2 linked regions of the Neodiprion lecontei genome follow. The protein of the gene in region 1 binds, or shares a complex with, the protein of each later gene. Links are inferred from orthologs where the notes say so. Each region holds a gene or a part of one and is shown on either strand. Other genes may lie near its edges. The genes, in order: protein unc-80 homolog and sodium leak channel non-selective protein.

Evidence for each region.
Region 2: the proteins of protein unc-80 homolog (region 1) and sodium leak channel non-selective protein are in contact, whole or in part, in a cryo-EM structure (PDB 7SX3), measured with the Homo sapiens proteins. The link is inferred for Neodiprion lecontei from reciprocal best matches to the Homo sapiens genes UNC80 and NALCN. Residues at the interface, in NP_115893.1 of Homo sapiens: Lys1979, Asn2004, Glu2005, Cys2006, Asp2007, Leu2128, Arg2129, Leu2130, Pro2131, Pro2134, Arg2135, Ile2138, Asp2139, Phe2142, Phe2145, Ser2146, Glu2179, Asp2184, Glu2185, Met2187, Leu2188, Asn2191, Asn2194, Ile2198, Leu2199, Glu2202, Ser2226, Leu2227, Ser2228, Gln2231; in NP_001337678.1 of Homo sapiens: Asn639, Met643, Val644, Ile646, Lys648, Leu649, Pro650, Phe653, Val655, Pro656, Lys657, Ile658, Arg659, Glu660, Phe662, Met663, Lys664, Gln665, Phe666, Ile667, Arg669, Val711, Ser713, Arg715, Ala716, Arg717, Leu719, Lys722, Glu723, Ala725.

Annotation. Positions count from the first base shown.
Region 1 is NC_060260.1:11,412,677-11,417,712, reverse strand, and holds the start of protein unc-80 homolog, read left to right. Parts: upstream 1-1,960; 5' UTR 1,961-2,083; intron 2,084-3,732; 5' UTR 3,733-3,765; coding exon 3,766-3,851; intron 3,852-3,953; coding exon 3,954-4,002; intron 4,003-4,819; coding exon 4,820-4,846; intron 4,847-5,036. UniProt on the Homo sapiens protein: Auxiliary subunit of the NALCN sodium channel complex, a voltage-gated ion channel responsible for the resting Na(+) permeability that controls neuronal excitability.
Region 2 is NC_060261.1:28,731,036-28,736,158, forward strand, and holds the start of sodium leak channel non-selective protein, read right to left. Parts: upstream 3,228-5,123; 5' UTR 2,791-3,227; intron 2,289-2,790; 5' UTR 2,244-2,288; intron 1,837-2,243; 5' UTR 1,808-1,836; coding exon 1,703-1,807; intron 1,629-1,702; coding exon 1,443-1,628; coding exon of another isoform or gene 1,431-1,442; intron 947-1,430; coding exon 708-946; intron 525-707; coding exon 250-524; intron 166-249; coding exon 1-165. Other genes in the region: ATP-binding cassette sub-family C member 5, read right to left, coding at 3,651-3,911, 4,005-4,197, 4,465-4,648, 5,098-5,123. UniProt on the Homo sapiens protein: Voltage-gated ion channel responsible for the resting Na(+) permeability that controls neuronal excitability. NALCN channel functions as a multi-protein complex, which consists at least of NALCN, NALF1, UNC79 and UNC80.

The sequences.
Region 1 (5,036 bases):
CAACTCACGAAGCTACACGTCCAACCAGTTCAGTAGAAACTGATCGTTGTCAAGTGGGAAACAACAAAGATTGTTGTACAGCATCAACATTGGATAGCAAGATGAAAGAATCTCAACGCAAAACATCTGATTACAAGGAAATGCTTCCGGCTGACGATGAATTTAAGTTGATGACTGGGTTCACGGAAAATACTATCAATGTATTGGATGAACGTAGAAAACTGAATATCGCACGCGATAAACGCTGCAGAGATATTGCCAATAACGATCGTCTGCAAACAGCGGACACTTGTGAACATAAAAATATTCGTAACAATGTAAAACTTGTTGAGAATGTAACCGCTTGTGAGAAACCTTTGAAAGAAGAATCAAGAGCGTCACCTTCGCAAAAGAATTTTTATACTTCAAAGGGAAGTTTTTCTTCGATGAACAACAAGGATAAAGCGGTGACCAGTATGAAACAGACGAAAGCGTTTGACGAGTTCCCAAAGAATAGCTTGCAAATGACTTACAAAAACCCAATTACAGTAACATCGTCTGGTAGTGAATACAGCGTTGAGGATCAACGGAAACTTGACATCCGTCAACGGTCATCGTTTAGCAGAAGGCTCGAAAGCGTTTTGCAGCTCAGAGAATCGGAGAAGTTCGAGCGACAGATTGCATACGACGAAATATCATCAAGAGAAATCAGCAGTGATGGCAAAGAGAATCTTGAAGCAAAAGCTCTGCCTATGTACAGAAAAATTCTCGAAAGCAAAGACGAGATGGACTGGGAGGATTTTCAACAGCTCGTAGGAACTCTTCACCCTAGCCAAAGGGAACTTTGGTCCGATATTTGCAAGGCTGTTAGTAACGAGGCTAGAAGAATTTCAGGAGAAACTGGAGCCTCCACGGAAGTGTGCATCGAGATCAACCCTGTACTTACAAGTCAGATGCTACGGTGTGACGAGAGAAGCAGAGTGAAAACTTCTGAAAATGAACTAAGCTTCGAAATAGACATGGTTTTGAGCGATTCCGAAACGCCTGTGAACCAGCAATCGAATTGCAGTCGAGAAACTTCTTATGAGTGTGAAAAGTGCGAAGAAATCCCGCGAATATAACCATACGGTCATATTTGTTAACTTGAGAGTCAGTTTTATCTTTTGGAGTCGGAGTCTTAAACACGCCATCGGCAAATCAAACCAATCCACCACATCATCGTAATTTCCCTGATTGAAAATATTCGAGTATCCTGTATCATATACAGGGTACAGTAAACTCTGTTGATCGAACGTATCGTATAAATAAATCCATTTGTCAAGTCCCTACATCAGGATTATTAGATCATATTATTAGGTATATTGCAGGTGCGTATATAAACTTTAAGGTCATCGGATGAAAATATTGTTATTCCATACATGCGAAACAATGTCCGTCGATGGGTTCTCACACATGAAATGAACCTCAGCAAGTGCTTGTCGATGAATTTTGTTTCCCTCACTTGCTTCTACACCTCGGTAGCAATTGAACCCAGGTTGCGGCGATAAAATCTCAGATATTCTAGCGATACATACAAGAATGGATGTTCCAAATGTTAGAAGCCATTCGTGCGGCAGAAAAACGACTTTCGATAGTTGGATGAAATTGAATTCGAAACAATCGTCACCTTGTTAGTGTATCAACAACGACGATGAAGTGCAAAATTTCCTCATCCCTACAGGGACATCATACAGGTACCAAGGAGACTGTTAAGCATTTTTGTGATCTGCTCTGCACATGCTTAGCCAACTGATCGAAGAAATCATTCCTGCACTGTCTCGACGGGGTTGAAGAAGGTGGGTGGTGGTCCATCGGGCAGAATCCCGGAGAAATCGATGGGCGACGGCGCGTTGGTGTCCTAGTTTCCATAGCGTCGCGCGCACATTCCTCTCATCCTCGTCTTCGTCATCGTCCTTGTCCTCCTCGTTGAGCACTTCGCACCGTTTCATTCCGTTCTGTTCCGTCTCCTCGCGCTATCGTTCAGTTAAGAAATTTTCTGTTGCTCCTACCTGCCGCTGAATCTCAATGCAATCAAACTTTGAAGATGCCTAAACCATTCACTCTCGTGAGTCTTACATTACCCTCCGTTTATCACTGTTTAAACATATTTTTCCCAGACTTTATAAGTGATAAATCCGGTTTACTCGTTTTAACGCAGGTTCATAATCACCACCGTAATTTCGTTATCAATTAACTAAAAGAATAGATTGGAACTAGCGGGAAAGAGGAAAAAACCGCGGTCGTTTATTCAATCGTTATTTATTATTTTAAACAATATCCAATCGCATGAACTATTACACCGAATTCGAAATACAGCAAATCATCTGCGAGTTACTGAAAATGTGTGTCACACACATAGGTGGCTGAATAACGTCTGTGATTGCTTCGGATCCGGTCAGTGTTACGCGATGAATGACTTTTCTGAACGATGAATTAAATTTCCTCGAAATTCCAGCATTCGTGCCGGTGCCCAACTCGACTCTAGCATAAATCGACGAAAATATTTTCAAACCAATTCCGGTTATCTAATTCTTTTTGATCTAACAAAGCGTTATGCGCAATAATCATTGTCCAACGAATATCACGTTGCGTAAGGTGATTCTATTTACTCGTCGCTCCTCGTCGCTTCGCCCCCGTCATTTGCCTAATCGACTCGACAATTCCAGCTATAAGGTAACCGTCAGAAAATACGAAAGATTATCTCCGAATTTAGTACAGTCGTTCAGTTTCGAATAATGGTACGTACGCGATTTGTAACTCGGATTTATAAACAGATCGGTATGTTGACGCTTAGCTGGGCGTTTATATGCGTATTATCCGATATCTGAGCAGAGCTGTCACGCAAATTTTGGTTGGTTCCTGGCGGCGAATCCATTCTTATCAGCTGCAGCCTCCGCTTAGGGTAAGAGGATCAGGAGCAGTTAGGTGACTTGAGGTGTGTACAACGGAATCATGACAGGAGGCATTATTATTTTCACCGAGTATCGTGATATTTATTGTTATTGATAAAACTTTGACCGAGTGATGCGACCCTTAATTAATTATATCGATAGTAAATTCACTATCCGACATCGGGACTGTGTAATCATCGACTCGCCTTGAGTGGTATGGCTCGGTTTATTGAAAACTAAACATCAAAGCTAGAACTCGGGACCAATCAACACGCATTTCCTCTTAATGAAGGCTAAAAGCTTCAGGAGTCCGTGGGTGGATCAGATGACTCTATAAATAGGCGAACGAGACCGGCGATGACAATGGTCAATCTAAATGCTTTTCGTCGGGTAATGAAAGTTCGGGAAACCCCGGATATATACTATTACGAACAATAATACGAGGTATTCGGACGCGTGAATTATCCATGCAAAATACTTCTATTTCTCACTTTTGTGTCAATCACGCCATCTTAAGAAGGCAAAATATATCCACACGTTATGCGAAGCGTCAATAGAACCGGTTTTACAAGTCAGGAACTCGAGACAATGGTCAGACAAACATCGCCCTCAACAACGAAAATTCGAAATTTGAATAACGATAAATCAAAAAAAATTTTACCATGTTATGGCATCGAAATATATGTTACAAGTTACTCTAATAGTATAAATAATTTCATACGCATAATACAGCAATCTTTGATCCAATTGCGCAGTGTACTTTCCACTATTTTCATTGAGTTTACGGTGGGGATGATTGGTGATCAATTATAATACATTCCAGAGTACAGTATGAGATAAATTCCGAGTGGCAAACATGGAAAAACGCCGGTCCATCGATGACAGCTTGCATGATCAAGCCTTGCCGATTCCAATACAGACCTTTCTCTGGAGACAAACAAGGTGAGAATGATATTTTCTTAACGGTTTAAATGTTTCAAAAAATTTATATTTATTTCGAATCTTCATCAACAAATCGTCGTATTAAAACTTGATCTTCCTTAGTCCGTTCATACGAGCCAAGCTTGGAAAACTCCATGAAGCATCATGTATGGTAAGATGCACGCTACGTATATTTCAGCGAAAATGTAAACATTTGATCGAACCCTAATCGACATGTTCTTGTTAAAATGTTAAATAAAGTTAACAGACTAAAAATACTGACACACGCTTATTTGTATATACATACAATTGAAAAAATGCTGATAAATTATAGACGATAGCATCATATTGCTTGCACTTGATATTATTGCTGGTAACGTGTGCTTACTTCCAACGTTGCGTAAAATGTGATTTTATTTCCTACAATGCCGATTATAATTTGAGAGATAGCTATCGATCGTTATTTTTTTTTTTAAATATTTTCTCCCACCTCATTATACAGTCATCGATGGACTTTTTAGAAGTAAAAACTGGATCCGAACTGTATCTTTGAAACTTGCAATCATTTCACGACATCTGAAACGGTAAAATTCTTAACGGATTATTGTATTAAATTCTTATAATTCGATTAAAATTAACTTTTATATACGTTTTGTTCCGATGTTATTTTTCTTATGTTAATTTTAATGAAAATTTTTAGCCTTCACCTGTCACAACACACGTTTCAGCAATAACTTATAGACCATGTACGCAGAAAATGAGCAACAGAAAGGCAAGCTAGTTAAATTGCACTGCGATAAAAGTAAAGATAAAAATCCCATACAAATTGGGAAGCATCGTTTAAGCAATTTGATGGTGTTGTGTGATTCTATGGCTGACCCCTCATGGCTGACACCTGTACACCTACGTTTTACCCTGTGCCTGACTTGCACTAACAAAAAACTACCCTCTCCACCATGTGGCCACCTCCAATCGTCACCTGTCCGCAGTTCTGTCAACGTGCGCCCGGCCATCATGTAAGTTAGCTTTGCTCTGCTTTTTATCATTTTGTGGCGTGTGAATACTTACCCGCTTACCATACCGTTATGACTCCTTTCAAAATTTAGTTTCTGGATTTCTACCGTTAGCCTTTGAGACGTGCATGTGATGAGTAAATTATCTAATACGTGTTGAATCCTTGCACCCCCCCCCCCCCTCCCCCCCAGT
Region 2 (5,123 bases), on another chromosome or scaffold:
TTATTACGGCTATGAAAACGTTTTTCACAAGCCATGCTAGGAAAAAGATCATAGTGCTGAAGTAGAAGGCTGCTCTCCAACCTGGCAGACTATCAATAGCTCGGTACATGATGAAAACCCATCCTTCTTGAGACGCCGCTTGATAGACGGTGAAAATACTAGTCGCTAAAATAAGCAGATTCGATCATACCTAATTTTTGATAGTGACTTGTTAATTTTGATGAATGCATACTTTTATTTCACACTCACCGAACTCGTCAAATCCATTGAAACCCATAATATACCTGGATAGTTCTAATTTCATACACTTCATACCCTCAGGACACTGATACCCAGATTCTGGATCCGTAGAACAAAAAGTGTCTGGAATTGCTAAGCTATTTATCGTAATATGATTTGAGTCTGTTGTGTTCAGAACACAGTGATTTTTTAGCTCCCCAAAAAATTGTACTCCCAGTAATCCGTAAAGAGACATAAAGAAAAGGAAGAACAACGTTACATTGTAAATTTGTTGGCTTGATCGTCTGAAAATGAATATTCCATGTATAAGTATATCACATGTGACAAAGTATCAAAAATCTATATATTTATCGGTATGTTATTTTCTCTGTACTAGAAAATCTAAGTCATTGAACTCCACTACATTCTCACATGAAACTATAGTGATATGTTATAATTACATGATTATATCTATAATACGTTCTTACTTGAAAATTTGATTTATTCTTGATTTTGGCATAGAGAACTTGAGGAAGACACGAAGAAAGCGAATCATAATCAGCGGCCTCGGTGCTCTCAAGATGGATGCATAACTGAATCGCAAGACAAGACCTAGCATCTCAAACATTTGCAGGATGACAGAGAGCCATAAAAAGAATACCATACTCGCATCGAACTGGCACCAATGATCTTTCAAGTAAGGCACTTCACCCTGAAATGAACTAGACTGAGAACATATTCTGCTATTGCAACTATGGAACGTCTGAAATCACCAAGTTTTCTAATGCTAACTGAAGCTATTTATTTCGAGGTATAGCTCTGAAAAATATGCAGTACATACTTTTTTACCAGCATCAATACTTTGTTAGAACTACTTTTCAGATCAATAATCATTCAAACATTACAAGCGATGCATTCTATTGAAATTGTGTTGTCAGTTAGCCAACAAAAGTAAATCTTTTAACATATTTTTGAACAATAAAGAAAATTGCAGAGTTTTATAGTTTTTGATAATTTAACATATATCGTGGAGATTGACTTTCATTATTAAGCTATTTCAAGACTAAAAGCTGGCAGCATAACTATATTGCTTGGCTGAACATAACGAGGTTTTTTTACGAATTAGTGCATAAGATATATTTAATAACTTTTTTTTATCAACAACAGGGAAGCACAAAACGACACATATTAGTAATAAAAATAGTTCTCACAGTTGTTCTGACCTTCAGTATGCCACGAATGTGCATCTTGGCAATCATCTCGGCAGTGAATAGAAATGTGACAACCAAATCGCACACAAAGGTGACATACTGCAGTGGAGGTACCCTCTCGAAAGTTTTTGGTGTGTTAAGGCAGACAGAGGCTAGCGATACTAGAGCGCAAAGCCTCATCAGCCTGCGAACCCATAGCTACAAAGCAAAATAAGGAACATTGTCACTTTAATTCCATCATTCTTTTATACTTTCTCATATATTGTTCTCACTTTGTTGACCCATTCGATATCTGCACTTTCGTTCAGACACTCTTCTGGACCGTAATCTGCCAGAACAGGCTCTCCTTTGAGGCTCTGCTTCCTCCCCAACATCATAATAGGTATTATATTCGCAATGGTGAAGCCTAAAAAACAAATGTTTAAATTATTTGGATGCATTACAACGCCACCATAACTTGATAAACAACATTCAACACTCTGCCCATTTATTATTAGGTGCATGGATGTTAGTAGATCAGACAATCAGTCTCTGATACTTGACACGTTACTAGTGGACACTTAATCACATAAAAAATGATGATTGATCTATGGCCAATAGGTTGAAGAATGATTTGGAATTTAACTATTAGTTAAAATAACGACATTCAGGTACAGTCAGAATTATTTCTCAAATGGAGTATCGATCAGTTTGTAATCTAATGACGAATGAATGTGTGTCGACATATATTATTAAGGTAAAACGTAAATAGACACATACACAAGCATATTAACATCCAGCTTTCAAACACAATGATTTAACTCCCATACTCACGTGACGTTCTAATTTCACCGCTATTATGTATTGTCAAAACACTAGCTGAAAATTATTTTGAAAACATAAGCGGTCTGACATATTTCTTTCTAATATCTAGCTCTGCTTAATCTACACATTTAGAACGAGTTTGATAGTATAAAATGTGTAGATATGAAACATTTTTCAATGAAATTGAATGGTCAATATGCTTCTTATACGGTAAACGAGAGATAAGTTGATCTTGTTAAGGAGGATTTTTACTATTTTTTGCAATACGATTATATAGAATATTTTAATAAAGCTCAAATACAGTTCAATAAATCATTTCGAACTGGGTGCAACTGTTGATCAAGATCATTAGTTGCGTCTCGTTAAGTGATGAAAGTGACAGTTGGTAATTTCAGTAGATTTGAAATAATTGTAGTTTTTTTTACCAAGATAGAAGGAAGTGAACAAATTGTGAATATTAAAAAATTGTACACAGTTTTGGGTATAAAAAGATAATTATGGGGTATAAGAATGCATTTGTTCTTTCACAACTCGTTCAATATAATCAAAGTCTTACCGTTCTTGTAACAATTTGGTCAACCAATAAACTCTGCCTTCACGGCAATTCGTATAAACTACATTTTGTATAAAATAACAACAAAACTCAACGATTAATAAACATTTTAATAATAACAAGGTAGTGGCATGGTGATCATTTTGTAGGGCAGGTACAGCCAGCTGGGATGCTGGGCATGAGCAGTCAGCACCAATTTGAAAATCAATATTAGAAACGCTAAGTTGCAGTTTATACGCGATTTCTCTTTACTGAAGAAATTTGTTGAGACATGCAACATTAGGTGACGAATTGTAATATGAACTTGATTGTACGTAGCTACAGTAACTGTTATATTGATTTGTTTCATTTACATACTTGAAACATAACATATAATACTTACAGATATGAAAAAAGTAGACCAAATACGGAAACAATAAAAGAAGACACAAATTTGGAATTTAGTATGAAAAAATTAAGAAACTTTGATTTATCTTAACTTACTTATTTAAGGATAATATAAAACAATAAAATACAATTAGAAATTACTAAACCGGTAATGCTGGAATCGTTGAAAATGATTAAATCATTTTGAACACGTATTTTTTTATCGTAGTATTTCTGCTCAATTGTTCATTTCTATAATACTAATTGTACAACATTTGTAAATAGTTATGCAACTGAGAATATATTTCCCTGCCACGAGTGGTAAATAGAGTAGTAATTCTTGAATCTTTGGTGGTTGAAGTTTGTTCTCATTTCAAGCATGTTTCAACGGGTTCAGATACAATTCGATTACTAGACATAACTTGGAAATTTATGCTGTATGTGGATGTAATCGTCTCTAATACTGCCATAAGCTATTGCAAAAAAAAAATAGCTCTTCATTTGTTTTCTACTGTATTAGCACCTGCTATCATTTTAGAAAATTCAGAATTTGGGTCTTTAAGAAGATTATACGGCTTATCAAATTCTAATATTTTGCCGCTGTTCATAACGAGGACTCGGTCAAGGAACAAAACAGTTTGTAGCCTGTGTGCTATGATCAGTATCGTGCAGAAAGAAAACTCCTGTTGAATTGTAGTCTGAACAGCAATCTCAGTTTCTGGATCTACAGCGGCAGTTGCTTCATCCATAACAAGTATCTAAAATAAATGGTATATCTTCAGTTTTAAAGTACTAACACATCGATGCACAAAGATGTTGAATTTTCTTGTATATGCAGTTAAGTAACAAACCTTAGACTCCCTGAGCAATGCTCTTGATAAACAAAGCAGCTGCCTTTCACCCACGCTTAAATTGTCTCCTCCATACCCAACAGATGCGTCAAGATGACCATTGATCGATTGTACTCTATTCTTCAGTTTGGTTTTTTCAAGCGCTAGCCATATTTCTGAATCTGTGTAACGTTTGAATGGATCCAGATTCGATCTGAAAGTTTAAGTCCAGTGCATCATAGAAGCAAGTTGAGTAGGTTTCGTTGACGTAAACATTAGTACAATGTTCCAAGCCCTACACTCTCATAATAATAGAACACGCACTCGTACCTTATTTACAAACTGAGAGAGATAGCTGAAAACTGATGTCGAAATGTCTGCCTATAATACTCGCGGTATACATGTATGATGCTCTCTTTTTCTGTGCGCTTTACTACACAACAACGAGTTGCATGTATTTTGAATCGCAACGAACACATACCTTATACTTCCGTTAAACAGTATTGGGTCCTGTGGGATGATCGAAAGTTTTGTTCTTAAGTGACCGAGGTTTATTTCTGATATATCAACATTGTCTATTTCTATTTTTCCCTCCGTCAACTCGACTAGCCTGAATAAGGCTGCTGTAAGGGAACTCTTCCCTGATCCTGTCCTCCCGACAATGCCTATAATTCCAAAGTGGCAAATTTTGAAAAATAATTACTTACAGATTGGGTTTGAGCTCATAAATTGACTTGGTTCCGACAAATAGGCAAATCTCCCCTCATGCATAACATCAATTAAAATTGATTTACACCCCCAAAATAATGTTCCACACATTCAATTTTGCAATGAAAATTATTAAAAGTAGCAAGAAGGTCTCAAAAGTTGGAACTGACTTCTAAAGCGTGGTATTCGCGTGATGTGTGTCGTTATTCAATGTTCGGAGCTTGGTAATTAGTATCGAAATCTAGATTTCGTACATTAGCATACAGTTTCAAACATTACTTTAAATCGAAAGTACTTAAGTATATACTTCTTCAAATGTTATTCATAAACACCTGTTAGCTTTCTTTTAAGGGTGTTGAAAAAATTTGTCACAAAGGCAAGTATCAAAATAAATTTCAGAACTTACCAATCTTTTCTCCAGCATCAACATTG